Tamandua tetradactyla: one gene and its partners. The protein of the gene in region 3 interacts with the protein of the main gene of each other region in a pairwise test. Links are inferred from orthologs where the notes say so. Each region holds a gene or a part of one and is shown on either strand. Other genes may lie near its edges.

Region 1 (7,331 bases), on a different chromosome or scaffold from region 3:
GCTCACTCGCTACCTCCCTAAGCCCAGGAAACCAGAGTTTGAAAACTGTACTCGTTGCTTGCCAAGGTGACACTAGATGGTGTCAAGAGCTCCAACTAATTGTTGCATAGCTGTCAGATGGGAGCGGGCTAGAAATAACAGCATCCAACATTTACAAAGCATTTTGCTAGGGACTATTCCATCACTTGACATATATGTGTATATTAACTCATTTAAGCCTCACCTTAACCTGATGAAGTAAGTAATATTATGTTCCCCATTTTGTAAAGAAGGAAACTGAGACTCAGAGATGCCCAGGGTCACACAGATACAGAAGCAGGATTCCAACCCAGGCCCTCTGGTCCCAGCCTGTGCTCTTAATCACGGCATAGGCCCTGGCTTTTTAAAGTCATATCTCTGGCCCTTGCTTTTCAAAATAAAGATAAAACAAATCAAACCCATTACAGAACTAGACCTTCAACTTAAAGATACTCAGTGAGTTTGATTTGTTGTGACTCCACTTGCCAGCCCTCATTCGCACATCAGAATATTTCTCAACCGTTCCCAGCCAGCCACAGGTTCACAATTAGTTAAGTATTAATAACGAGACTCCTCCCTGTGGCTTCCTGATTCCAGCTCTGCTCCCTCTCCGGTGGTCAACCATCCCTGGGCCTGGGGAGCAGGGTATTAAAGCAGTGATGCAAGGGGGGAGCTGGCACTCAGGAAAGTGGGCCAAGTCCCATAAAGTCAAAGGAACTGCCACGTGAACCTGGGTCTTGGGAGATTCAACTCTCTTGCCACTAGAAGGTATTTAGGAACTAAGCAAAGGAAATAAACAACTCTAGCATGAAGTGGGGATAAATTCATGCTGAGTACTCTGCATATGCACATACAAACATATGCAAATATACCTCTGACTCTTAAGAACCCAAACCAAAAAAAAAATCAAAACGTGCAAAATGTTCAACAGCTGATGTAGTCTCCAAAAGTCAATACAAACTGGAATTCCAATGAAGCAGATTTCCTGGGATTCCAGAACAATAAAACCCATTTTAGTGAGGATTCTGCCTCTCCCCTGTGTATTGGTTGGTGGATCAGGAACTTAGAAAGGGCAAAAGCAGCCAACACATCCCTGGGCAAGTTGTTCTGGATTCTTCTGTAAGGTCAGGGGCATTTACCAAGTGACAGCAGCCTTCCACATGTGTCCTCAACACCCACAGCACACAACTCTCGAATTTCTGCTGTTTCTTGCTTAATCAGCACCTGAACTATGAGTTCTGACTTTCCCCTCCAATCTCCCACCTCCCCCTTAGCCCCGGCTTAGAGTCTGAGCTCCCCTTCCCCGCAGCCTGCTGCAGTGGGAGGCACATGCCCAGCCTTGGCTGTGGCCTGCAGAGAGGAAAGGTAGGGGCCTCCTGATGTGGAAGTCACTGCAGTCAGAGGAGAGATGCAGAGCTGCTGTCGCAGGGGGAAGGCCGCTGCAGAAGGATGCAAACATGACCATTTCAAGAAATGCTTTTTGGAGGTTGTGCCATTATCTGTGCTTCAGATATTTGAAATACCTATACAAACACATAAACACACGCCTCTGGGTATCCTCTGCCAAACACGGCAACAACAAATATGGGAGAAAGACAGAGGAGGGAGGGGGCACGGATGACACAGTTAAAGGAATATACATGCCTAATTGTAGTAAGAAAAAATAATAATCTTTCAGGAAGACTGTAGATTTGCTCAGAAAATCTACATGCTGGGTGCCCAGTGCTTTACAGTCAGGTTTGAGAAGAGCCTGGCTCAGGAGAAGGCTGCAGGGGACTGAGCTGGGGAGGGAGGGACCCCACCGGGAGTTGGGTAATTTTAAAGACCAACCACTGATGTAGGAGCCTAGGAAGAAGAGGAGGAGGCAGGGCACAGCCAAACATGAGAGCTGAGTCCAAAGGTCTGAGTGGCCAGATGTGGAAGGCAGGCAGGGGCACAGGTGCAGGGTGACCTCAGCCTCCCTTCAACCCACAGCTCCTTCCCAGGCATGGCCTCAGCCAGGACTCAACAGGTCCCCCTGGAGGAGGGGTTTGGGCCCACACCGTAGGTGGACAAACAAACCATTTTGCCATTTTCACTAATAAGCAAGAGTCAAATGGCCATCTCAATATTGGTCTTGCCCTTCCTCCCAAGGTCAGAGTGAGATCCTACGATAAAAACATGCGGGGGGCATGGAAGACAAGGAATGACCTTGTGGTTATCAATCCCAGCCTGAGCGCATGTGGGGAGGTGAAGGCGTGCACTGGTCAGGCAAGGGGTATTGGTAGAATGCCTACCGCACAGCCATCCCTGGGCAGTGACAGTCGTCACGGATACGGGGTAGGGGACGAAGGAGCAGACTGTCTCCAAGGACTATTTCCCCTAAAGTCTGGGCCTGTCCTGGAGTTAGAGAGGGCAATGCCGCCTCTCTCCCAGCCCTGTCGCAGTCCCTCGCCCCTGGACTGCGGTCTTGCGCGCGCCCCTCCCCTGCCCGGCCCCCACACTCACTAGCGCAGCGCTGCGCCTGCCGCAGCACCTCGCGTCCGCACAGGTCGCACCAGCCCGGGCCCGCCCGCAGCGCTAGTTCCGCGAAGCAGTGTCCCTCGCCTCGTTCCGCCGGGACGCGGGGGTCCTGTGGCTGCTCGAAGATGCTCCGCACATCGCGGGGCCGGGGCGCTCCGGGCCGCCGCCGCAGTCTCTGTTGCAGACCCGGCCGGACAGGGCGAGGGGGTCGGGAAGCCCGGGGTTGGGGCTCCGGGTCCTCCCGGGAAGTCCTCCGGGCGCCGCGCCCATCGTGCGCCCCGGGCGCAGCGGAGAGGGGCGCGCGGGCGCAGCGGCGCGACGACCGGCCGGGGGGCTGTGGCTGCGGCTCGGGGCCGCTCAGGCTCTGCAGATAGCGCGGTGGTTCGGGGTCCAGTAGGAGCGGGTAGGGGCGCTGCCCGATGGCCGGGGACGCCATGGCCATGCCCGGCTAGGGGCGGCGGTTGTCTCCCGGCGAGGCGCAGCTCCCGAGCCAGCCCCGAGAGAAGGGGCGGCCCCACACCAGCGCGCCTTTAAAGGGACCGCAGCCGACAGGGCGGGGCGGGGGCGGGGAGACTTCAGGGAGGCAGGAAGGGCGACACGAGGGAAAGGCCGACGGACCGGGTGGTAAGGTTGTACTGTGGGGGTTGTCCGAGCATGAGTGTGGGTTTAGGGGGCGCCTTCAGGAAGTCTATTGAACATCTGGGATTTAGGATAGCAAAGCTGCTGTACAGTACAATGCAGAAAAAGCCCTCCTGTAGGGTCTCTTTGCCTTCAGCCCTGCCTCTTTCCCTCTTCCTTCACTTCTACCAATACCCGATCCACCCCCCACCCCCGCCTCCCCGACACCCGCACCCCAGCACGCCCAAATGGGAGGGAAGAGCTTAGGAACTAGTTGAGGATGGAACCCAAGGAGGAGGAGGTCCCGGGGCTCCGCCGCCCCCTCCCCAATTTCAGGCCGATTGGAGGAATGTGCTCCCTAACAGTGCTTCCTTCCCTCGTCGCCTTCAGCTGGTTTGCGAAGCCGGGTCTGGGCGGGGGAGTGCGTGTGCGCCGCGGTGGCGTCCCCGCAGAGCAGCGCCGAGTCCCGTGACGCGGAGGGACGCGCGCTTCGGGGGACGCTCCCAGGCTGTGCACCCCGGCCGCCTGCGAGGCGCAGCCGACTGTGCGCGCGCGGCTTTCACTCTCTCTCGGGTTTCCCCTTCCTCCGCAGCCTTGCGGGATTGGAGATTCCTCTTTCCCGTAAGACTGGAGTTATACTGGTAGAGGGCCCTGGAGTGTGAGAACGCCCTCGCACCCTGTAGGCTGAGGGACTTTTTCTACCTAAGTCAAAGGCTCCTTTCTCCCAGCTGTTCGAGTAATTACTTTGGAGATCCGACACCCCCACCCCCACCCCAACCCCCAAATAGCCTTACTTTGCACCAGGTATGGACAGTTCTGTGGGACCCAAAGAGACCCTTTTCTACCAGGATCAGGATAGACTACTGCGTCCCCCCACCCGGCTCTACCTCCACCCCTGCCTCGTTTGATACTCCACTGTCACCATTTTGAAATTCTTAATTTTTAAACGAAGGTACCACATTTCGTTTTGGCACTGGGCCCTGCAAATAATGTAGCTGGGCCTGACCAGTACCTTTGCCCTATTTAGTGTGGGAAAGAATAGCACCAGGTCTGTCTCCTGGGTGGGGAAACTGAGATTGAGTGGGGACTCCTGGGTCTTTGAATCCAACCTATGTAGCCTGGCACATACCTGTGTATCCTGGCTGTCTCTAGCCCCAGTTTGAACTGCAAATTGCGTTGGGAGTGAGGAGCCAGGCTTGCTGTCCTCTCGGGTTCCCACACTCTGACATAATGACCACAACTTTCCTCTTAAAGCATGGGGTTGGGTTGGTTGATTTAGCAGCGGTCACCAGCAACCAACTTGGGGAATAGTCTGAATCCTGCTAGACCTGAGACTTCCCCTCCTTCTCCCAGACCAGAGAGGGGTCTCCCCCTAGTGTCCAGTAGGGGAATCTTCACCTTTTGTTTTCCCCCCTTGGAGGTAAATTTTAGGTAATTCCTAAAAATTCTAGAGCCTAATGCCTAGGAAATTCCCAGCCTGCTTTGTTTCATGGCTCCACAGCAGCCAATCCCCAGTGCTACAAGGCAGAAGGCAGCTGAGCTAGGGGACCGTGCACCACAATCCTCCACCTTTCCTCTCCCTTGTTTGAACAGTACTTTCTCTACATCAGTGGTTTCCAAACTTCAGCATGCATCACGATCAGCCGGAGGGTTTGTTAAATCACAGATCACTGGCCTCAGCCCTAGTTTTTTGAGTCATCAGATGTGGGGCTGGGGTTTGAGATTTTGTATTTTTAACAGTTTCCCAGGTAGTGCTGATGCTACTGATCCAAGGACCCCAGCTTGAGAACCATTGCTTTAGATCTAAGATGGTGATGGGAGAATGGATTCCTCACCAGGCAGGTAAACGGTTCAGTGGAACAGCCAGAAGGGAGCAATTCCTGAATGGTTTCTGCTGAATATGTAAAAGGGAAAAATACAATTTGCCTTGTGGTCTCTTATTCCTGTCTCTCCCGCTTTTTCAGCAAGCAGGTCTCTTGGAATTGTTGCAGAAATATGTGTTGCATATAAATATTTGCCTGTTTCCACCCTCTGTTATCCATCTATCTCTCCAGGCACCAGAGCTGGTGGGAGATCACTGGCTCCCAGGAGTGCACTGGCCTGGGTGAGGTTCAGGGTCTGGACCCAGCTTGGACTCTGGGTGACAGCTTCGGGTGGCAAGAAAAAGCAGGGATCTAGCAAAGAGTTCATTTGAAGATCAGTTTTGAAATGGCCTTTTTGATATATTGCCAACAGTTACCATCTCCTGCTCCCCAATTCCCCAGCATAGTTTTGGAAGCCCAGCCCCATAGTTTTCCGGGAGAGCAGTGCTCATGGGGGAGAAGGGGCTCCTCTTGCCCTGGGAAGCTAAGGGCTATCTGGATAATCAGGCATAAAGCCCTTTCCAGTTGTGTGAGCCGTACGGAGAAATTGCTCCAGTTTTTGTTTTATTGCTGCAGCTCTGATTTGGGGAAGTGGTGGTGGCTGCTCTTAGCACTGAAAGCGGGAGGGAGATTGGGCAGCTCAGAGCCCTCCTAACTTCTGGGATGGGAACAGAGATGAATATGGAGATAACATAATTCCATGCAACCAGTCCAAAAAGTTTATCAAGTTTATCTTAAGGTTCATCTCTTTGAGCCAAGAAAATGAGGTCGGGGGAGGTAGTTGCCTCCCCCCCCCCCCCCCCGCCACCTCAGCACAAGGCTTCTTGCTCAGCATTTGGTTCCTTCTATGCAGCCCCCAGTCTCCTCCCAAAAAGCACCCCCTCCCACAACACACACACAGAAACACACACACACAGTATATCTCCCTCCTCCTTTCCAAGGAAGAAGTATGGAGTAAACCCTAGTTCTCTGTGCAGTCAGGATGTTGCATGGGGTAGCGTCTGATGCCTGGACTTTAAAACTTTTGGATTGGTCTTTGGCCATCCAGGCTATGGGCTAAGACCTCAGCGTCTGCTGACAGCTCCAGTGAGAGTTTCTTCTCAGTGGTGGCAGACCCTCTTGGCTTGGAGCTGCGGACTTTTTTGCTTGTGACTCACTCCCAGCAGCGTGGGTGTGCTGCTGTTAGTTTTTCTCAAGGGGGAGGATTATGACAGCAGGGTTTTGAGTGTGTGGTCAGTGTGCAAAGTCACTTCAGAGGTGGTCCCGGAGCATGTTGGTTTCCCTATTGGGTGAGTCTTTCCAAGGGTTGACCCACCCCCACCCCCCCCATCCCCCACAAATCTCCCTGGTAGGAAGGAACAGGGGAGGATAGAATATGACCTGACTTTCTGAGGGGGAAATTTTATTATTGTTTGGCTTTGAGATATTTGATGTCTTCTGAAATCCCCGAGGCATCTAGGGAATCCCCTGTGGTTCTGAGAGTAGCACAAAGGATTTCCAGCTCTATTAGGATAGGTTTGGTTATGCTGCAGTAATGAACAACTCTCAAATCTCAGGGCCTTTAAACACAGAGACGTCTTTCTCATTCACACTACCTGTCCTTTGTAGGTTGGAGAGGGGACCCTGGCTTATCAGTCACTCAGGGGCCCAGACTGATGGAGCAGCCATCGTGTCTAATGTCACCAGTCACCATGCCCGAGGGGATCGAGAGAACCCGGAGGATGCCATGCCAGCTTTCAAAAGCTTCAGCCATTTCCTCTCACAGCTCATTAGCCAGAACCAGCTATAAATGGCCCCAAGGGGACAAGAAGTGTGATCCTACAGTATGCTCAGAATGAGGAAAGAATTGGAAATATTTGACAAACAGCACTAATGACCACTGCCATTTTCAAGGGCATAGAACACTTACTCATTTATTGAGGCCAGATTTTAATGCCTGTTTGTGCAAGTCACGTGACTTCTCTGAGCTTCAGTTTTCCATCTATAAAACGGGAATGCTGGCCATTTCACAGAATGTGGCGCAGTCGTTCAAGCCAAGAGTTGGTGGCCGATGCCTTTCTCTGGCATTTTACAAGGGACCGTCACAAACATTTTAATTCTTCAACTTTTTGTCATGCTCCCTAATTCTCTAATATCCACTGTGTACCAGGCACTGCTCTAGGCGCTGAAGATACAACGGTGAAATGGGCATGTTCATGAAGCTTACATTTTAGTGGGAGAGCCAGACCACAGGCAGACATGAGTGTGATAGAGTGTCAGGTCATAATAAGTACTATGATGAAAAACAAAGCATTTTATTTTTAAAATAGAATAGAAAATGACAGGATACTG
Region 2 (7,384 bases), on a different chromosome or scaffold from region 3:
CCCAAAGAGCCCCAACAGGGAAGCAACACTTCATGTTTCAGATAAACTACTTTATTTATTAAAAAATTAACCACTTTTGGACAAGTGAAATAAGTCTCCTTCTCATTCCACCAAATACGGTCACCAGTTTCGTATGTATTCTTTCAATGTGATTGATGCAATAAGCAATGTTCATCTAGCAACAAGTCTGTTTCTGCAGCATTTTTTCTTTTTTAGCTTTTAAAGAAGAATATAATAGAATTAGTTTTCACTTCTATAATTTTTTTAGGTAAACATTTTAGCCAAAATATTTTAGCCAGATTTCTTCATCTTAAAGCCAAGGTCCTGTGTACAGGAGTTCTTCACTTTTACAGTTTATCAAAGCTAGAAAAAAAGAGAACTTTTTTAGTTTATAGGATACTTTGTTTCATTATTGGGAGATTTTGATATATTTTCATGAGCAACAAATCTCCTGGTTAGTTAAGAATTACTGTGAAACACAGTTTGCTATTCTTAGAACTTTGTTGAACAATGATGAATATTGAGACTATGATGTAATTATACCTCTAACAAATAATCTAAAATTTTCTTTAGCTTAAAGTGAAAATGTTTTAAGGAAGTACAACTCATTACTATCTTCATTTGCTTGGACAAGAGTGTATTTTGGTTTTAAACACAGTTACAGTGTTTAAACAAAAAATAACCATATAAGTCTGCAGTTCACAATGCAGGTTAAATTAAATATTTTAATGTAATCAACAAATTATTAGAAAAACTTTACATATTAGTCACACCAAACTGAATTTTTTGGGATAAAAAAATTTATCACCTTGATTTTTTTCCAGTTTTGTCCTAGCTTAAATCATCATGAATTTTCTCAAGGATTTTTTTTACTGTCTTACAGTAAAAGAAAACTTGCTCATTTACTCCATTGTGCAAGTTACGACCTACTAGTAAACAAAGAAAAGATTTTGGTTATATTCCGTGTGCCATGATTCCAATAAACAATGGCAGCTTATTTTTAAATCCAGGTTATTATAGTTTGTATTTCATATTTAAAACAGAAATCCACAATTAAAATTTCAAAGTACTGAAAATCTTTGTGAAGACTAGAAATAAAAGTTCGTTAATGAAAAATTCCAGCCCCAAGTCTTCACCATTTGTCCACGATTCACATTTGCACCCGACCACAAATTTATACGCAGGCTAAGAAAAGAAAAATGATTCACAACAATTCAAACTAAGGCAATGTCTACAACAACTACTCCTTGGGGGGGGGGGGGGACTAGAATTTTGTTCTTTGAGGCAAAAAGAACAACCTCCATCCCTTCCAGAAGGTGCATGAAATAAAATAAACTAAAGCAAGATTTTGAAAACTCTCTTCTTCCCAATTAACTGTTTAAAATTGTCAACTGCCAAATGATTTTCACAAAATTACTGGTAACTATAATCCATGCAGCAGTACTATACTGTAAGGGGCATATTACAGTGATAATCCTTCAGATTTTTGTTAGTGTAGGGTCTTATTTTTATTTGAAGATATGAATGTCAGCTACAGATGTTTGTAAGAAACACAAACTTTTTCTAAGTTTCAAGTCTATAACTGAGTCGATCAATTAGAAGAAAACAAATAATTAAACTACAAACTTCAAGCAGAGGCGAAGAAAGGTCAGTTAACAGATTGAATGCAACCTTTCGGACCTTCTCCCGTACAAAGAAGTCAAAATGTACTTAATCTGACAGGAGCACTCAGAGGTGACATCACCAGCATCTCACAGCTGGAACTAAACATATTTACAGGCGCTCCAAAAGTCTCAAGGCGACCCAGATAACATGGAGCCCTTTTCTTGTCTTGAAATCTTTCCCCAAACTTTGGAAATACAGTATAGTTGCATTAAATCCGGACTCACTCCTACTCTCCTCTTCCAAGAATTGAAACTAACTGGATTTCAAGCTTTAAATCTAAATGTCCTTTGCAGAGGGGACTTCCATTTTTGCATGTTGTGAATAGGAAAGGGGTGTTTATGTATCAAGTATACGTAAATTACTTAATATCCCTTAAAGCCTCAGAGACAAGCTTTCAGGTACCCCTCTGATTCCACTGGTCTTCTATCACCCCACACATCCTCAAAGAAGACAGGCTGACCACGACCCCGGCCCTGACCCAAAGGAACTCGACCCTGCGCTAACCCTTCCCTCCAGCTTCTTTTCCCCGGGATGTCTTGGGCCTACTTTCCTCGCTCCTCTCCCCACAGCCCCAGGAGGTCCTGACACGATTTCGGCTCCGATCGCGAACTTCACTAGTCCCTGACCTAGCTCACGCCACCCTCACCTCCCTTATCGCACCCCCTCGACCCCCCACCACTATGGCGGCCCGCGCGGCCCCTTTAAGAGTCGGTGGCGGCCGAGCGGCCGTTTTCCGTGGCCGGACTACACTCACCCACTGGTTGGCCTTGGGGCAGAAGGTGTATAGAGCAACCTGTCCCGTGAGGTCTGCGATGCTGGTGATATAGGGGTCGTGTCGCTTCAGAGCCGCCAGGCTCATCTCCTGCCCAGCTCGACTCAGCGACTCCATCTTGAATCCCGGAGCCGAGCCCCTCCGGTGGGGGCGGAGTCGAGGACCGGAAGGTGCCATCGAGGCAAAGTTCCCCAGGTGCGTCAGTACCTTCGACTTCCGCATCTAATTGTGGTGTTGCGGGGTGCAATCACTGTGTTCCGCTGCCCGCGCACTTCGGCTGCCAGGTTCCGGCATGTTCAGGTTCTCCCTGCCCAGCCCGACCGACGTCCGCTGTACAGCGTCTGAACTCGCGGCCGGATTCCCGGGCGGTTCTTTTCCGCGAGCATAAACGTCCCTGCACCAAGATCCGGGGTTCCTGCGCGTTTCAGGGTTCCTGCCGGAGGGGATCCGAGACTCACCCCAGCCCGCCTCCGGCTCTCGCGCGAGGGACGCAGCAGCGAGAATGGGGGACGCCACACGTTTAGAAAGCACCGAAAGACAGGGGACGCGGGAGACCCCGAAAATTACCCCAAATCTCACCAGATCGTCACCGTTTACAATCTGCTGTTTTCTGAAGGAGATATTTGAAAAAAGTAACTCACCTGAAACTTCATAGACGTTTTTATTGCTGCCCACTTTCGCTTCCTCTTTTCTCTTGTCTGAGTCTCGCGTAAATATTTCTATCCGGTCCTGGAAGGGCCCCATGAAGGCCTGAGTTGTGCATCATTTAAAAGGATTAAAAATACCACTCATTGTTTTGGCAAATATCTGTTGAAAATTCTGAGGCATTTTAAAGAGGCAGATGTTGTTGATAGTGAAAAAGTAAAACTAAGTCCAGAGACCACAGTGAGCTCTTGTCCCCACAGACTTGTTTAAAAGCAACATTTTTTCTTAAATTTTAAAAGATACGCTAACAGAGTTAAGCAAAACATTCGAAATTTTAAAAATCCATAATTTCATTAAAATAACACTATAAAATATGTATGTGTTTATGATTTTACATCCTAGGAGTATGTATTAATCGAAAGAGGCTCTATGTCTTACATTCTGTACAAAATCATATAAGAAGCACAGATGAGGCCAAGGAGAGTATCGCTCAGTCACCCTTCATTAAGCAAGTATTTATTGAACTCCCAGTTGTGGACTGGCTCCCTTGGGAGCTCCAAAGTCTATTGACAACCTCCTGGGTGTGGGAGAAATGAAAGAAGTAGAACAAAGCAAGGAAACAGGGATAATTAATGCTAGAGACTTTTCTGAAACACAGAGGATGGAGCCACTAACTCCATCTAGCCTGGCAATATAAGAAGGCTTCATGGAAGAAATGATGTTTGCATTGGAGTGCCAGTGAAGAAAGGTAAGGACTCCCTTTCATTTCATTTAACAGCTCAGTGCTGAGTTGGGGAAAATGTGGTCATCCTCACTGACAGATTATTAGTGTTATTTATTTTTTTTAATTGACAAGCCAAAACAATGTACAAACACGAACATTCTTAACATACAAACATTCCATACATGGTGTACAATCAGTGCCTCACAATACCATCACATAGTAGTATATTCATCACCATGATCATTTTTTAGAACGTTTGCATCACTCCAGAAACAGAAATAAGAAGAAAAAAGAAAAAAATCATAGTATCATACCCCTTACTCCTCCCTTCCATTGACCCCTAATATTTCCATCTACCCAATATATTTTAACCTTTGTTCCCCCTACTTTTTTTCTATACCCCTGTTCTAGTTTGCTAGCTGCTGGAATGCAATATAACAGAAATGGAATGGCTTTTAACAAGGGAAATTTAATGAGTTGCTAGTTTATAGTTCTAAGGCTGAGAAAATGTCCAATTAAAACAGGTCTATAGAAATGACCAATTAAAGGCATCCAGGGAAGGATACCTTGGTTCAAGAAGGTCGATGAAGTTCAGGGTTTCTCTCTCATCTGGAAAGGCACATGGCGAACACAGTCAGTTTCTCTCTTGGCTGGAAGGGCACATGGCAAGCAAGGCATCAATCTCCACTTTCTCTCCTGGCTTCCTGTTTCATGAAGCTCCCTGGGAGGCATTTTCCTTCTTCATCTCCAAGGGTCGATGGCTCGTGGACTCTCTGCTTTGTGGTGCTGCAGCATTCTCTGCTCTCTCTCAATCTCTTTCTCCAAAATGTTTTCTCTTTTATAGGACTCCAGTAAACCAATCAAGACCCACTCAAATGGGTGGAGACTGTCATCCCCTAATCCAGTTTAACAACCATTCTTGACTAAATCACATCAACCAGGGCAATGATCTCATTACAGTTTCAAACATACAGTATTGAATAGAGATTATTCTACCTTTATGAAATGGGATTTGTATTAAAACATGGCTTTTTCTTAGGGGGCATGCTTCCTTTCAAACCAGCACAACCCCTTACCACTCCCTTTCATTGATCACTAGTATTTCAATCAACTCAATTAGTTTTAACATTTGTTCCCATTATTTATTTATTTTTAATTCATATTTTTTACTCATTTGTCCATACCATAGATAAAAGGAGCTTTAGACACAGGTTTTCACCATCACATAGCCACATTGTGAAAGCTCTATCATTATACAATCATCTTTAAGACATGGCTACTGGAACACAGCTCTGCAGTTTCAGGCACTTCCCTCTAGCCTCTGTAATACACCTTAAATTAGATTGGGATATCTATATAATGTGTAAGAATAACCTCCAGGATAACCTCTTGACTCTGAAATCTCTCAGCCACTGACCCTTTATTTTGTCTCATTTCTCTCTTCCCCCTTTTGGTCGGGAAGGTTTTCTCAATCCCTTGATGCTGAGTCTCAGCTCATTCTAGGATTTCTTTCCCACGTTGCCAGGAAGGTTTACACCCCTGGGAGTTATGCCCTAGGTAGAGACGGGGAGGGCAGTGAGTTTGCTTGCCATGTTGGTTGCGAGAGAGAAGCCACATCTGAGCAACAAAAGAGGTTCTCTGGGGGTGACTCCTAGGCCTAATTTTAAGTAGGTTTAGCCTATCCTTTGTGGGGATAAGCTTCATATGAACAGACCCCAAGATTGAGGACTCAGCCTATTGATTTGGTTGTCCCGACTGCTTGCGACAATATCAGGAATTCTCCAAATGGGGAAGTTGAATTTCTGCTCTTTCTCACCATTCCCCCAAGGGGACTTCGCAAGTACTTTTTTATTCACTGTTAAATTACTCTGTAATTTCTTGGGGCATCACATTGGACAAACCTACAAAATCTCATGCCCTATTCAAGGTTCCATGTACTTATGGTGTTCAATTAACCTGTCTATATAGGTTATATTAGGAAATGTGCTAGTCAAAATATAAATTTTGTACCAAATAAACATTTTTTTGCTTTAGTCTTACACAGAAGTTGAAGTTTTAAAATATGAATGACCACCTATTTTCAGTACCCTGCAATATTGACATTCCTTTGTTCTTCCTCATGCAAAAACTTTTTAAAATTTGTACATTTAGTCACTATCATTATACACTCTAGGTATTCCTAGATTATACCATCTCAGTTTTTATCGTGTATCTTTCCTTCTGGTTTCATTTGTGCCCCCAGCCCTTCTCCCTCTATCATTCTCACATTCAGCTTCATTCAGTGTACTAACATTATTGTGCTTCGATCAGGTAGTATTGTGCTATCCATTTCTGAATTTTTACAATCAGTCCTGTTGCACAGTCTGTATCCCTTCAGCTCCAGTTACCCAACATCTATCCTGTTTCTAGCTCCTAGTGACCTCTGCTCTTAACTGAAATTCTTCAAGTTCATTCATTAATGTCAGTTCATATCTGTGAGACCATACAGTATTTGTCCTTTTGTTTCTGGCTAATCTCACTCAGCATAATGACTGACAGATTATTTAATTGAGGCCCTAGAGGAGAAATCATTGGCTCAAAGTGACACACTAATCAGAAGGCATCCAGTGATAGAATCTCAGGGCCCCTGCCTTCTACCCTAGGTTCCTTTCCGCTACTCCCAAGTTGCCTTTCTTCCTCACAGTGACAAGAAGCAGTTGCCCTATACCCTTTTACCTGCCTTCAATCAAGGGTTTCACGAATCTGTATCCTATTTTTTTACAAATGTGTATTTTTTGAATAGGTAATACATTCACTGGTACAAATTTCAAAAGGCATATCTGAAACAGAATACTTTTTTTCTCACACGAATTTCTTAAAATATGACATTTTCTTTTTATTTACTATTTTTGGTTGTGTTAGACTAGTGAAGAATACCCAGCTATTTTAGGGGGTTTTCATATTTTGAATAAAAAGTCACTTCACAAAGCATGTTTGCATGGCCCCGAACATGTTAATATTGACTTTCATGCCCTTTACTGCTGTAGCTCTTAGATATATTAAAGACGAAGTGAATATTTTGGAATTGAAAACCATCCTCATTTACCTTGAGGCCTAATTTTGCCTTATGTTTGTGAATTGGGCCTTAAGGTCTTTCTTGTGTCTTTTAGACAATTAGCTCTGAGAAGGCAAAGACTGTATTTTCGCCTGTTAGGTCTCCAGCACCTATCACATAAAGTAGACCCTCAGTAAATTCACTGAATGAATTTTGTCTTAAAACCCAACTCCTTTAAATCCATGCAAGAGAGTTGAGGAAGGGGAGAGGAAGTGGATGGCTAGGGTCAGATGTGGAGGGAGGTTTACTCTGCAGTGAATAACCCTTGGTCACTTTTGAGTTGTGTACCATGTATGTTCATGTTTTTTAAAATTAAAAATAGTTATAAAAATGATAGCCTAAAAAGCCAATCAATCCACTTCTTCTCTGCCACTCTGGGAGGCTTTGTGGTAAGAAATAAAACTTGCCATTTAAAACTATGGAGTCTAGTGAAAAGGACAGTGGAATTCAAGTCAGGTGATCAGTGTTTTCTTCCAAATCTGCC
Region 3 (7,600 bases):
ACAAATCAAAGCAGAAAAATCACATGATCATCTCAATTGATGCAGAGAAGGCATTTGACAAGATTCAACATCCTTTCCTGTTGAAAACACTTCAAAGGATAGGAATACAAGGGAACTTCCTTAAAATGATAGAGGGTATATATGAAAAACCCACAGCTAATATCATCCTCAATGGGGAAAAATTGAAAACATTCCCCCGAAGATCTGGAACAAGACAAGGATGTCCACTATCACCACTATTATTCAACATTGTGTTGGAGGTTCTAGCCAGAGCAATTAGACAAGAAAAAGAAATACAAGGCATCAAAATTGGAAAGGAAGAAGTAAAACTATCACTGTTTGCAGACGATATGATACTATACGTCGAAAACCCGGAAAAACCCACAACAAAACTACTAGAGCTAATAAATGAGTACAGCAAAGTAGCAGGTTACAAGATCAACATTCAAAAATCTGTAGCATTTCTATACACTAGTAAGGAACAAGCTGAGGGGGAAATCAAGAAACGAATCCCATTTACAATTGCAACTAAAAGAATAAAATACCTAGGAATAAATTTAACTAAAGAGACAAAAAACCTATATAAAGAAAACTACAAAAAACTGTTAAAAGAAATCACAGAAGACCTAAATAGATGGAAGGGCATACCGTGTTCATGGATTGGAAGACTAAATATAGTTAAGATGTCAATCCTACCTAAATTGATTTACAGATTCAATGCAATACCAATCAAAATCCCAACAACTTATTTTTCGGAAATAGAAAAACCAATAAGCAAATTTGTCTGGAAGGGCAGGGTGCCCAGAATTGCTAAAAACATCTTGAGGAAAAAAACGAAGCTGGAGGTCTCGTGCTGCCTGACTTTAAGGCATATTATGAAGCCACAGTGGTCAAAACAGCATGGTATTGGCATAAAGATAGATATATGGACCAATGGAATCGAATAGAGTGCTCAGATATAGACCCTCTCATCTATGGACATTTGATCTTTGATAAGGCAGTCAAGCCAACTCACCTGGGACAGAACAGTCTCTTCAATAAATGGTGCCTAGAGAACTGGATATCCATATGCAAAAGAATGAAATAAGACCCATATCTCACACCCTACACAAAAGTTAACTCAAAATGGATCAAAGATCTAAACATTAGGTCTAAGACCATAAAACAGTTAGAGGAAAATGTAGGGAGATATCTTATGAAACTTACAATTGGAGGCAGTTTTATGGACCTTAAACCTAAAGCAAGAGCACTGAAGAAATAAATAAATAAATGGGAGCTCCTCAAAATTAAACAATTTTGTGCATCAAAGAACTTCATCAATAAAGTAGAAAGACAGCCTACACAATGGGAAACAATATTTGGAAACGACATATCAGATAAAGGTCTAGGATCCAGAATTTATAAAGAGACTGTTCAACTCAACAACAAAAAGACAGCCAACCCAATTACAAAATGGGAAAAAGACTTGAACAGACACCTCTCAGAAGAGGAAATACAAATGGCCAAAAGGCACATGAAGAGATGCTCAGTGTCCCTGGCCATTAGAGAAATGCAAATCAAAACCACAATGAGATATCATTTCACACCCACCAGAATGGCCATTATCAACAAAACAGAAAATGACAAGTGCTGGAGAGGATGCGGTGAAAGAGGCACACTTGTCCACTGTTGGTGGGAATGTCAAATGGTGCAACCACTGTGGAAGGTAGTTTGGCGGTTCCTCAAAAAGCTGAATATAGAATTGCCATACGACCTGGCAATACCATTGCTGGGAATCTACTCAAAGGAATTAAGGGCAAAAACTCAAACGGACATTTGCACACCAATGTTTATAGCAGCGTTATTTACAATTGCAAAGAGATGGAAACAGCCAAAATGTCCATCAACAGACAAGTGGCTAAACAAACTGTGGTATATACATACGATGGAATATTATGCAGCTTTAAGACAGGATAAAATTATGAAGCATGTAATAACATTGATGGACCTAGAGAACATTATGCTGAGTGAGTCTAGCCAAAAACTAAAAGACAAATACCGTATGGTCCCAATGATGTGAATCGACATTCGAGAATAAACTTGGAATATGTCATTGGTAACAGAGTCCAGCAGGACTTAGAAACAGGGTAAGATAATGGGTAATTGGAGCTGATGGGATACAGACTGTGCAACAGGATTAGATACAAAAACTCAAAAATGGACAGCACAATAATACCTAATTGTAAAGTAATCATGTTAAAACACTGAATGAAGCTGCATCCGAGCTAAAAAAAAAAATGGAGGGGAATGAGTGTAACAATAAGGGGCTCTGGATAACAAAATTTAAAGCTGGAGTGAGACTTACAGGGAGGAGGAAGAGGGTGATCTGGGAGCAATGACAAGGACCAAGGACACCTACTGCAAGTCTAAGCCCTCTCTTTGAGGTTGATGGTTGAAAACACAATCAGCAGGACTTGATAAGGGAAAGGGATAACAGTGTCCTCAGGGGAAAGCTGAGTTGCCCTTGAGCAAGAATGTGAAGGGAACCTGAAGAGAAATAAGAGATTGAGTTTAGAGGAAACGTTATTTGCATAAATAGATTGTGTAGTAGACAGGTTCTGAAGTAGCCCTAGGATCCCTGTCTCCCGGTGTTCACGTCCTGGTAGTCCCCTCCTCTTGAATATGGTTGGGATCTGTGATGTGCTTTTGATGCCAAAGGTGACAGGATGTTTGTGATTATGTTTGTGTGATTATGCTACATAAAACTGTAAACTCTGTCTTGCCGAGAAACTCTTCCCTTTGTTGGCTTTAAACAAGCAAGCTGCCAAACTGTGCGCTTCCCTATGGAGAAGGCCACATGGTAAGGTACTGAAAGGCCCTCTAGCAGACAGCCAGTAAAGGACTGAGGTCCTCTGTCCTGCAGCCCATGAGGGACTGAATACTGCCAAAAGCATGTGACCTTGGAAGTGGGTCCTTTCTCCATGGAGCCTCAGATAAACACCAAGACCTGGTTGACACCTTGACTGCAACATTATAAAGGATGGGGCTAAGCTGTGCCTGGACTCCTGACCCATGGAAACTGTGAGACAATAAATGTATGCTGTTTTAACCTGCTAAATTTGTGGTAATACTGTTATATAGCAATAGATAACTAATACAGATGGGAATGGGAGAAGTTTAGTTATAGCAATGTTACTCAATTCTCTATACTCCTGAGGTGTACGTCTGAGAATCACAAATTGATCCATTACCAAATAATTTTTAATAATTTATAAGCTGACAACTTAGGTTTTCCTTCAATTTTGCTGACAGTGAAGAATTGGAAACCACCTGTCTTGCAAAGCAATTTAATATCAACTTATTAGGGTAGTTCACTTTCTCAGCATAGACACCAAGTTTTTGAACTCTCTTTTTGAATTGCCCTGGCGACTTTTACATCTTGGGTCATGCACCCTAGTAATGTGTGAGTTTGACTTTCTTTTGTAAGGTAGAAAGACAATTTTTAAATGGAATGCTGTGCCTTCTAGGGCTGAACAATTTTTGAGAAGAGTACAGAATGTAGTGGAAGAGTCTGGAAATGAATATCCTTAAAACTGGCCTTGGGACGTCTTCATGAACCCCCAGGTGTATGAAAACGCCAGTATGAAGACATTTGTTTAAGGGGCTTTCTCGTAGAAGAGGGAAGAGCCTGTGGTTTGATGGAGAGGACACAACCTGGCTCTGAGTGGTGCGAAGGTCAGGAGGAGTGGAGTTCCTGCGGGATAAGGCCTAAGAAAGGACTTCAGAACTTTCTAATTGTTAGTCTTGGTGTGACGTCCAATGAGAAGTGGTTCGGAGTTCATGGAAAAAAAATGCCTATGTACATCAGACAGTGTGCTGATACTTTTTAAATTACAAGAGAAATGTCTCGTGAAAATTCAAAAAGTATGGAATGAACAGCAGAGTTTATGTCTTTCCTCAGCCAACAAGTAACTCAGTTAGTGGTGTTGTATGACATCGAAAGTCTCTTTCAACTCTGAGATTCCGCCTAAACTCTTCCAGTAAGAATCACTCACATTTCACAATACCTGGCAAGACTATCAAATATGATTCCTTGGTTAATGTCATGCGCATCTCCTTAACCCGGGGTGATCCAGGGCTGGTAGGAAGAGAAGGAAGGCCCGGTTACCGCCAGTCTCTTCCCGAATTAAATCAGTACAACTACCCTCTCCTCTGAGCTAGATTGGGCTTTTAAAATCTAATTTTTGCATCCACGTAGGTCCTAAAAGAAAAAAAAAATACTCCGCTGACCGCTGATCACAAACACTTAGACGCAAACTATTACGCCGATTCTGTAGGAATGCAGCCCCTTCTTCCATTCTGCTTGTGCACTTTTTGGAAAGGGATGCCAACTTCTTTGATGACCACTCTCTGCATGCAGCCTTTCCCCCACACCATCGTGAAACAACCCCCTCCGCCGGGGCCCAAGCAAGGGCCGGGACTCTCGGCTGTGCGCGGACCAGCACTACCCCGCGAGCGCCTGCGCAGAGCGACTCTACCCGTCACACAGGGCAGGAGGCGGGGGCACTGGGGAGAAGGGAAAGCTAAGGGGGAAAAGGGCCAAACCCTGAAATTACCCGGATGTGGTCCCTGCGCGCGCATGCTCAGTGTCCGTTCGACAAGTTGGCAGCAACAACACGGCCCTGGTCGTCGTCGCCGCTGCGGTAACGGAGCAGCTTGGGTGGAGAAGCCCCCGTTGGTGCCCGCCAGCTCTCTTCCTCGGGCCCTTCTCGCCCTCCCCTCGGCTCCGCGGCCGTCCGGAGGGCGGGAGCGGGTGAGGGGAGCCAGGCGTCCCGCAAGAGAGGCCCCCAGTCGCGGGGTGGCCCGGGAGCTCGAGCTGGTCCGGCCCGCACGGGCAGCGGTGCCGCGCCGAGAAGGGGGCGGACTGGCCCAGGCTCTCTGAGGCGGGGGCTGAGGAGCAGTCTGTATTGCTGGGGGAACAACGGCGGGAGAGCGGACTTCTCTCGCCACCACCCGAGCCCAGGTAACCGCGCCATGTCCCCTCCCCTTCCCCCGGCCAGGCCCGTGCGCCCCGCCCGCGGCTTCCCCGCCCCGGGGCGGGCTCCCGGCGGCAGCGGAGGCGGCGGGGAGCGCGCGGGAGGCCGGAGGTCTGCTGGGCAGAGCGAGCGAGCGCGGCCGCCTGCGGAGCTCAGTCGGGTCGGCGGCCCCTGCGCGTGTCGGGCTGGGCGCGGTGGCTCCAGTCCCTCGAGCTCGGGCCAGAGTTGGTCCTCCAGTCCCTAAGTCCCCTCTTAGTTAGGACGGGAATCAAGTTAAACTCGGAGGGGAAGGACTCCCGCTGCGGCCTTTGCTCCTCTTTGTTATTTAAGTAGTTTCACTGTTTGCCCCGGCAAAGCGCGTTGGGTTGGAGTGTGGACGGGGAGGAACCTTACCTTTAAATAAAAGTTGTAAATAGTTTTCCTTTTTTTTTGTCAAGCAAAAAAATTTTTCTCTTCATCCCTTTCTCTTCCTGATCGTGTCATTCTAGTTTACGTTTCTGGCTTTGTTTTGTTTACTTTTTGATATTGTGGGTGATGGCGGTATGCAGGAAACTGTTTTAGCACCTAATTGAACCGCCATTCCCGCCTTCAGTAAAAAATGTTTCCTAATAAAAGACGTAGTTTATCTTATTGCCAGGACTAAGTGTACAGATCGTGAAATTGGTGTAGCGTGGAGGGCGATGACTCCATCACAGGCCCTAAGCTGCTGTTTTTAATTCTCAAGCTAGATTTTAAAAGAAATGGGTGTTTTTTAGTTAACATGAAAGGTTTCTTTGCGGATATAGAGAGATTTTTTTAAAAACTCTGTTGAAAATGGATAGCTCTTTTCCCTTTGAAAACCCTAGTAAACCTTTTTAAAAAAAAATTAACACATGTTTAAAAAATGCAGTTTTATTAAGATACAGTCACACACCATACACACATCCGAAGTATACACTTGCTGGCTCACAGCATTATATAGTTGTGCATACATCCCATTATATGCACATATTTATCTAAAACTAATTTTGGAATTGGTTTAATTCTTTTAGATTTTGCCCCATAGTTTAGGCTTAAGTTGCCAGTTATTTAGTACTTATAATACAAAATATAGGTAATCATTTTATGTAGCCTGAATTGACTCCAAAGGCATGCGTTCTTGGCTGATTGAAAAAAAGTCTCGCTTGACTTTTTCGAGAATTAGCATCCTTTTAGTCTGTAGCCACTTGAATATTCGGTTAAGACGTCCGGTCAGTACTTGTGCAGGCAGAAACCATTTAGAGCCTTAAAAGGAAATGAAGAAATGCATACTTTTATAAAGAAATTAGATTTAGAACATTGCATTTCAATAAATTACCTTTGCCATATCGGGACTAGATATATTTTAGTTGAAATACAGCTTATGAAATTCTGAGGTGTAATTTTTATTTTTCTGCTGGAAAGCTCTGATATGGTTAATTCATAATACAATTAACATTTAAAAATATGGTTTCTCATCTGTGTTTCTTCCATAATGTGGTCATGATTTTATTTCCTTAAATGGGTTTGTTACAGAACAAATGTAATAGAGGGAGGCCAAACATTTATGACTTGGAGTAACTTTAGTTATTAAGGTGGTGATGAATTAGGTAGGTTTAAGTTATTGGAGTTAAAACTAAAAGCTTTTCTGGAGAAAATTGATAAAACATTTTGTGAGTCTATTAATAGAAGTGGCTTTTTCTTTGCTTTCTAGGTTTTTGGGTGGATTTGCTTTAAAGAGATAATGCATTTTAGTTTTTTTTATTTTTGAAGTGAAATTTGGTTTGAGTGACTTCATTGCAAATCTGTTTCAGACTTCATAAAAGTTTGTGCTGAGAAAGCCTGAATCAGTTTTATGTGATTCATTGACCTTTTATGATGGCTTTCCTCAAAGCCAGTCTGGTTATACTAAGAAGCAGCAAATCTAAAAACCTGTGCTTTACTTTCTTAAGCTGTACTGTAGTGGAGCTAGTTCTCTGTTTGGGTGTGAATTTTTTTGCATTCCCTTTCAAATTTCACCCCTCTTCTCTTAAATTAAAGAATAAATATTATAAACTGATGATTCTAGCAGTTACATTTCAGCTCTCTGGCTTGAAATGACTTTTTCTGATAGAGCCAGTGTTAAGGTAACATCACTAGACACCAGTGTCATTGGGCTGTGAATTGGTGAGATCTTTGCTAGCACAGTTAACTGTACAGGTTCTGCCGAGTCTGTTAAATTAAAAATACATATTTAGTCTTACCTAGTATTTTGCCTATATTGGTGAGAACATTTTATTATTTTTCTTATGTTTAAACTTTCAGTTCTAATTTGTTTCCCTATAGCTCTTGCCTCATGTGTTTTCTTCCCGTTTCCTGTTCAATGACGATTTTTTTTTTGTGTGAAACAACATATATTCAAAAAAGCAATATATTTCCAAGTACGTTTTAACAAGTAGTTATGGAGCAGATTTTAAAGTTTGGTATGGGTTACAGAACCTTGATTTTTCATTTTTTCTTCTAACTACTCCAAGACACTGGAGATCCAAAGAAATATCAGTATAATGATTCAGCAGTTATACTCATTTGTTAATCCTGTCTTCTCTCAT
Region 4 (6,954 bases), on a different chromosome or scaffold from region 3:
GAATAAATGTTCATCTGATTGTGGAGAAGAAAATAATTTATTAAAGATCTTGCCAGAAGGGGTACACAACCGCAATGTGGTGGCTGGTGTGCCAAACAACAGGAGGCAGAAACATTTATTACCTAAGCCTAACACGGGAATCACCCTCCTCTGTTTTCTCATTGTCTGGGTACTCCAAAGGTTACAACCTACCTGAGAGGTCTAACTCACATTTTTTTCCCATATAAGGAAATGGTGCCAATCATTAAGCATACATAAGAGGCTCCTTCCCCCTTCCCAACTGTGGAACTGGTCTGGGCTGGTTTTTCAGCCTTTTGTTTAGTAAATTTTGTTTTCCCCCATTCCATGCCATTTTGTGTGAAAACTAAATTTAATTTTATTCTTACATACATAGGGATGCATTGCATAGAGATATATAAACAACAAGTAAGATGCAAATACAGGATTTGAATTCATATAGTTAGTTTCAGAGCATATTTTCTTAATCACTACTTTATGCTATGTTTTATAAGTATTTAGAAATTTCAGTTTTCTCCTTTGGCTATTCTTTTTTGTTTTCCTTCTTCAATTGCTGCAATTGAAGTTCATTTATTTTATTTTTGGTTTTCTTTTACTGTTTTTTTCTTTTCTCTTGTGAGATTATCTGATCTGCTTTACTATAGCAATATTATTTAAGAAGAATGTTAGTATGAACCAATAAGGCTATACATGGATAAAATGTGGAAATACTTTGGTCTGATTAGTAAATAGGTGCCAGAGTTAGTTTGCAGCTGTATGTACCCCCCCCAAAATTAATCTATCCCTGTGGGTGTGAATGCATTGTAAGTAGGATCTTTTGTTGACGTGACTTCAGCTGAGGTGTGACCTACCTCAATCAGGGTGGGTCTTAATCCTGTTACTGGAGTCCTTTATAAGTGGAATGAAACTCTGACAGAGGGAGAAAGCCATGGAAGCAAGAAAAGAAATCAACAAAACCCAGAAGAGAGGAGAGAGATGAATTGACAATGCTTTGTACCTTACCATGTGGCAGAGGAGCCAAGAATCGGCAGCAGCAGGTCTTTGGGACAAATGCATCACCCTGATGCTGCCTTTATTTGGACATTTTCTTAGCATCAAAACTGTAAGAGAATAAATTTCTTTTATGTAAGCCAAACCATTTCATGGTATTTGCTGGAGCAGCCTAAGAAACTAAAACATTGTCCTAACTCTGAATGCCCCTCAGTTCCTAGCTCATGACTCCTTTATTTCCACATAATTCAGCAATTAAAGGATTAATATTTGATAAAATAAGGGGTCTTCATGCCTGCTTTCATTCTGATTGATAAGTGCCTAGTGCCATAGGGACTAATAAACATTTTGAATACTATTTCTCCTAGAAGTTGAATCCAACCCCTATTTATTCTTTGTGTTTTCTGTTTTATCTAACCTGAATTCTCTTTCTTTTGTAGCTAGTTTGACAGTCAGACTTTAAATTCTGCATGATTAGTCAGATCAAGTTACATCTCTGTGAAGTTTTTCCACATAATAAGGAAGATTTGGGTGCTCTTCTTTTATATTTCTTTTATACTTGGTATATATCTTCCTAGTAGTAAAGTTCTCATATTTATCTCTATATATGATTCTTACACTTATAGACCAATGGCAGAGGCAGTGTTATTTCCTTTGGGCATCTCCAGTGTGTGTAACAGTATCTGAATGCAGTATAAATAGTATGCGTGTTGAATGAATCAGTTAGATTAGTTAGATAAAATAAACAGGCAAAGTGGCCAAAGAGACTGTTTGTAAAAATGTGTGATTAGGGATATCTGGCAAGATTCAAATAAAATAAAACTAGGTATTGGGAGACAAACATAGAATGTGACGTTATCTAAGACAACTGATCAGTGAATTAATGCTAAACTATTTACTCTTTTCCATTAGCACAATTCAGAGATTCCGTTTATTTGCTTATTAAAGAAATATAAAGAGAAACCTAATGGGTTTGATTATTCCAATCCCATCTCTATTGTTATAGAATGGAACTCTTTTTTTTTTTTTTGCATGGGCAGTCACTGAGAATTGAACCTGGGTCTCTGGCATGGCAGGCCAGAACTCTGCCTGCTGAGCCATCATGGCCTGCCCTATAGAATGGAACTTTTAATATTTATACTAATATTTTAATTTACTGAGCATATATTTTATAATTTGAGCATCTATGTACTAAATAAATTATGCCAAAATTTTATTATAATTGAATACCTATTTATCACTTGAGCACTCTTAAATACTATGTTCTGTGCTGAATATTTACAAAGTTTAGTAATTAATGAATGCAAATCTAATCATGTCATTTCCTGACAAACTCTTTTAAGAGATTCCTTATTGGCTTCAGGATAAGGTACAGGTTTTGATAAAGAAATTTATTAAATCACCTCTGATGTGAGATTCTCTCACATAAGGAGGAAGAAGGAAGGCTGTTATGATTCCTGAAGTCTGGATTAGGTAATCCTTTTAAAAGCTATTCTGTGTTTCAAACCAGTTGAAAGTCTCAAGTTATAAAAATATTAAACACCCTGTGCTAATCTTGTATTACTTAGAACATTTTTCTTTTTAGTTTTCCATCTCTTCCACTAGAGTATAAAATTCTTGAGAAAAGGAACAGTGTCATACTCACTGTTTAATTCCAGCATCTAACATATTTCTGGAGAAGAGTGGGGTGGAGAAGAGTGGGGTGATTGCTAAATAAACAGTGAATAGATAGATTAAGGGAGAAATTCCTTAAAAAAAAAACCACCACCAAATCTTAGGAACTGATAAGGCTCCTCCTCCTTTGCAAAACACATTTATACTACTTATCTCATCAGTTGACCCTCTCAACCAACTTGAACCACAGGCAATATTTCCACTTTACAGATGAGAAAACTGAGTAAAACACTTATTCCAGCCAACAGGTAAGTAAGAAGTAGAAACATGATGTGAGCCCAGATCTCCCAATTAGTAGGGTAGTGCCCTCTCTACACCTTGTGGTCTTCAAGTGAATGTTCATTACCAAGGTAAAATTGAATGCGATGGACACAAATTTTGGTGGAAGGATATGATCGGAAATGCTCGCTGTGTCACAGAAAACTGAAAGAAAAGATATCTTGTCTCCATTTCCTCATTACTAATACAGTTCAAAGTATGTTTTGTGAATTAAAAACAGAAAAGAACTAAATATATTCAGCTTCCTTTTTTGAAAATGTTTTCTTAGTTCTTCAACTCTCACATATCCACTTCCTTTTTTCTTTCCTATGCCTCATAGAGGGCGCTCACAAAGTGCTTTACTCACTGATTGTACAAAGGTCCACTCAGAAATACACCTCACGCTGCAACTAAAAGTCGCAGCGCCACCACCTCATACTTCCTTCTGGTTTCCACGGTAGGAGGCGGGGCCAAATTTCCTCATTCAAATAAAAACCCAGGATATTTGCATGGGGAACGGCCAGTCCGTAAGCCTATTGGTTGATAGCCTAATGGGCGTGGTCAACACACGCGCACGGAGACCCGCCTACATTAATTTGCATAACGGCCCCGGCGCGTGCAAGAGAGAAGCGGGTTTGTTTTTGAATCTGCGGAGGCGGCGGCAGCAGCGGCGGCCCGGCGGCTGAGGCGCGCGAGACTGAGGCGGCAACGTTCGGGACGGCGGCGCGGGACGGCTCTGTCAGAAGGAATTTGGTTCCCCCTCCCTCAACTCCCGCCCCAAAAGGTATATGTGAATCCCAGGGGCTCTTATGACCACATTTTCTTGAATTTCTATTGTATTTCTGAAGAGTAAAGACCGCATTATGGCGGCTGCTGGAGTTGTGTTTGCGCCTGCGCGGTTGCGGAGTTGCGGACGGGCGCTGCATGGGAGCACGTGATCTTGCGGGGGTAGGGCTCTAGCTGCAGTTGTGCAGCTTGGCGGGGCGGTGGCTGCGCAAGCGCAATATTCATTTTCAAGATCTAATGTTCTTATTGGGCGCCATTTGGGTTCTAGATTTATTTTTCCATATTTTTCAGGGGTTTCATTCTGTTGCCTCCAAATTTCCATATTTTTCATGGAAGACCTTTATTTTATATCTTATTTCTTTACCGACTTCAAGCTCTCCTCAATTTCTCCGATTCTCTGAGAAGCTGTGGAGGTGATTTTCTGTAAAACTGTGTGACTTGTGGTTCTCGATTATAATTTCATTTTTTTTGGGTGTTGCTGAATTCATGTTTTATTAGGAAGTTAACGATCAGTTTCTTGCATCTAATAGTGTTTTCCTGGGAAGTGCATGTATTTGAATTGCATATTAGCAAATATTTAACCCTATTTTTACCAGTTCTATCATGGTTGTGTGGAATGTTTGCAGAATAGAAACAATTTGTGTTTTGAAACTAATAGGGGGAACCTGGGAAGCAGTGAAAGAACATACAATGTAGTTTTAAAAGAAACCTCGTTTTTTTTTTTAATCTTAACTAAGTTTTAATTTTTATAAGTTTATGTGTCTCTGAACCTACTTAAATGTGAATTTCACATTTTTTCAGTCTTCGATCACTTGTTTATTTCTGAAATACTTAATTTTGGTTAGCTTATTATTGTTATTCTTTTAAAAATCTTTCTTATTTTATTTGTCAGTATGAAAATTATACTTCACAGTGAAGTATAATACTTGGTCAATTGTTCTGATAAAGAGTTCCACAAAGTCCCAACTACACTGAAGTCTTTGTGAGGAAAACAAGTAACCACCAGTAAAACTTAGTTGATTGTTAATAACTCCCATGTTAATGTGTAGAAGATACAATTGTTTTAATTTTTTTAATAGTGTGCTTGATTTTAGTTTCTTGAAAAAGGTGGTTATAATTGCTCATGTATTATTTATTTAGTTCAAATAGTCTCATTTTAAGTCGTATATGACTCCTCTGAGTGAAGTTATTTGATATGATTTCCCATTATGCAAATTATTTCTTATGAGGCTAAAAACTTGTAAAACAATTTTCATAAACTTTGTCAGTGGTTTGTATATATAACAATTTGTTTAGCATTATATAGCCCTAAATTTAAATCATTCTGTCAGTGAAGAAGTGGCAGTGTTTTATAATCATGGTCAGTTTGGGAACGTTTTTATTGCCTTAAATCAACCTCCTTGGTAACTATTAACTAGATTTAATTGAAAAGGATAGTTTTGAATGGTGGATATTTAAATGATGTCACCAGAGATAGAGTGATAGGAAACATTTTTTTTTCTCATCAAAATCTTTAGTATGTTTCAAATTTAATTCCTTCAACTCTGAAGTCTTCTATGCAGAAATGTCTTTCGAGGGCAGTTGTGTAATCTTGTCCCTTTATTCTTCTGGGGTGGTTACCCAACACTCCCCTTCCCCCCACCCAAGAACGCGCGCACAGACACACACACACACACACACACACGAACAAATCCAGGATAAACACTTATTTCTGATAGTTTAATGTTGCAAATATGTCATTTGAAAAAACATCTGTGTGTGTATGGATATGTAGATACATATTTAGGTTAAAAGAACTTTGGTCTTAGGGCATAGTTCCCTTTGCATGTACAGAAAAATGAAATATTTTGGTTTATATATTTCAAATTTGGCTTTAGCTTGAGTATACATATGATTGTTTTTTAATTAATATTGAAAGTCATAAGAGACACTTGAAAACACTGAAGAGCATAATGTACAATGTAAAATCTATTGGGAGGACAATTTTGCTGTCATGTTTTTAAAAAAAGATATAATACAAAAAAAGTAAGGTTAATGAACTGTGTAACCATGCACTGTTCCTTAGTACCCTGTTAGTAACCATATTCTGAAATTTTAGTTTGGTGGTTATGATGCCACAAAATTTAGACACATGTGGAGCCTGTATAAATATTAGACCAAGTTACTGAATACTAAGTGACTGGGGTTGTTTAAAATCTTTCTAGTTTTGTGAATTTTAAACATAGCCATAAACCATTAAATTTTACTTTTTTCTTTAAATCATGATTTGAATATGTGACCTTTTTTTATTTATTATAGAATGTTTCTGAAATACATTGAGAAATAAGCACTCTAAATGTTTTAGTGATTTTTGCGAAATTGCTTTTCCAGGCTTGATAAATCTGTCAATTTTTATTGATCTATTATTTTTTCATTGGGATCACAATTTTATTACTGCTTTTTCAACTTAATATTATATTGTGAGTATTTCTTCATGTCATTGTTCTTCTAAAATGTTTTTATTGGCTACATAATGTTGTACTGTGAAAATATTTCCAAATTATGAAACATTCCTCAAACACATGATTTTGAGTTGCTGTGTAATATTGCTATATCAAGTAAGAACGTGCTGTGACTTGCTAGGCCTTGTGTTTTTTTTTTTGTTAAATTTTGTCTTGTCCATTTCTGTATTATAAGTAATGCTACAGTGAACATCCTTATATAGCTCAAACTATTACTTTGAAATTACCATTTCAAAGGCTTGTAAGATAATTTTCCAGATTGTTGCAAATTTAAATGTCTTTTGAAAAGTATTTCTCATACCACCATCAAATTTGGTGGATGAAAAATAGCTCAGCAGCTTTCCTTTGATAACTAGTAAAGTTGAATTTTTTAATGCCTTAACCATGCATTTTCTCATTTTGTGAATTAGCTCTTTTTTTTTACTTTTTCTATGGTGGGTGTTAATGTTTTCTTACTTGTTTATAAGAGCTATTTATGAATATTAGTTCTTTGCTTTTCATATTTGTTTTAGCATTTTTTTTTGCCGATCAAATACCTTTTAAGTTTTTTATGGTTTTACATATTCAAAAGTTTTATGTTTTTATGTAATCACACATACTGCGTTTTTTCCTTTGTGATTTCTTCCAGAGCTTCTCTGCCTAGAAAATATTACCTTTTGTGAGATCAACTAAATGTTCATCTATATGGCTTATTTTTTCCTAGAATTCTAAATTTTTTTTCCTCCCT

Evidence for each region.
Region 1: the proteins of SMAD4 (region 3) and RASSF5 interact in binary tests that used the Homo sapiens proteins (3 or more experiments, as listed by UniProt). The link is inferred for Tamandua tetradactyla from reciprocal best matches to the Homo sapiens genes SMAD4 and RASSF5.
Region 2: the proteins of SMAD4 (region 3) and DCP1A interact in binary tests that used the Homo sapiens proteins (3 or more experiments, as listed by UniProt). The link is inferred for Tamandua tetradactyla from reciprocal best matches to the Homo sapiens genes SMAD4 and DCP1A.
Region 4: the proteins of SMAD4 (region 3) and ATF7IP interact in a two-hybrid assay, tested with the Homo sapiens proteins (2 studies listed by BioGRID and IntAct). The link is inferred for Tamandua tetradactyla from reciprocal best matches to the Homo sapiens genes SMAD4 and ATF7IP.

The regions. Positions count from the first base shown.
Region 1 is NC_135330.1:64,233,929-64,241,259, reverse strand, and holds the start of RASSF5 (ras association domain-containing protein 5), read right to left. Parts: upstream 3,008-7,331; 5' UTR 2,963-3,007; coding exon 2,506-2,962; intron 1-2,505. UniProt on the Homo sapiens protein: Potential tumor suppressor. Seems to be involved in lymphocyte adhesion by linking RAP1A activation upon T-cell receptor or chemokine stimulation to integrin activation.
Region 2 is NC_135341.1:32,330,439-32,337,822, reverse strand, and holds the start of DCP1A (mRNA-decapping enzyme 1A), read right to left. Parts: upstream 3,017-7,384; 5' UTR 2,660-3,016; coding exon 2,420-2,659; intron 930-2,419; exon of another isoform or gene 809-929; intron 1-808. UniProt on the Homo sapiens protein: Necessary for the degradation of mRNAs, both in normal mRNA turnover and in nonsense-mediated mRNA decay. Removes the 7-methyl guanine cap structure from mRNA molecules, yielding a 5'-phosphorylated mRNA fragment and 7m-GDP.
Region 3 is NC_135344.1:31,637,148-31,644,747, reverse strand, and holds the start of SMAD4 (mothers against decapentaplegic homolog 4), read left to right. Parts: upstream 1-4,578; 5' UTR 4,579-5,002; exon of another isoform or gene 5,003-5,266; intron 5,267-7,600. UniProt on the Homo sapiens protein: In muscle physiology, plays a central role in the balance between atrophy and hypertrophy. When recruited by MSTN, promotes atrophy response via phosphorylated SMAD2/4.
Region 4 is NC_135333.1:76,973,607-76,980,560, forward strand, and holds the start of ATF7IP (activating transcription factor 7-interacting protein 1), read left to right. Parts: upstream 1-3,944; 5' UTR 3,945-3,963; coding exon 3,964-4,139; intron 4,140-6,954. UniProt on the Homo sapiens protein: Recruiter that couples transcriptional factors to general transcription apparatus and thereby modulates transcription regulation and chromatin formation. Can both act as an activator or a repressor depending on the context.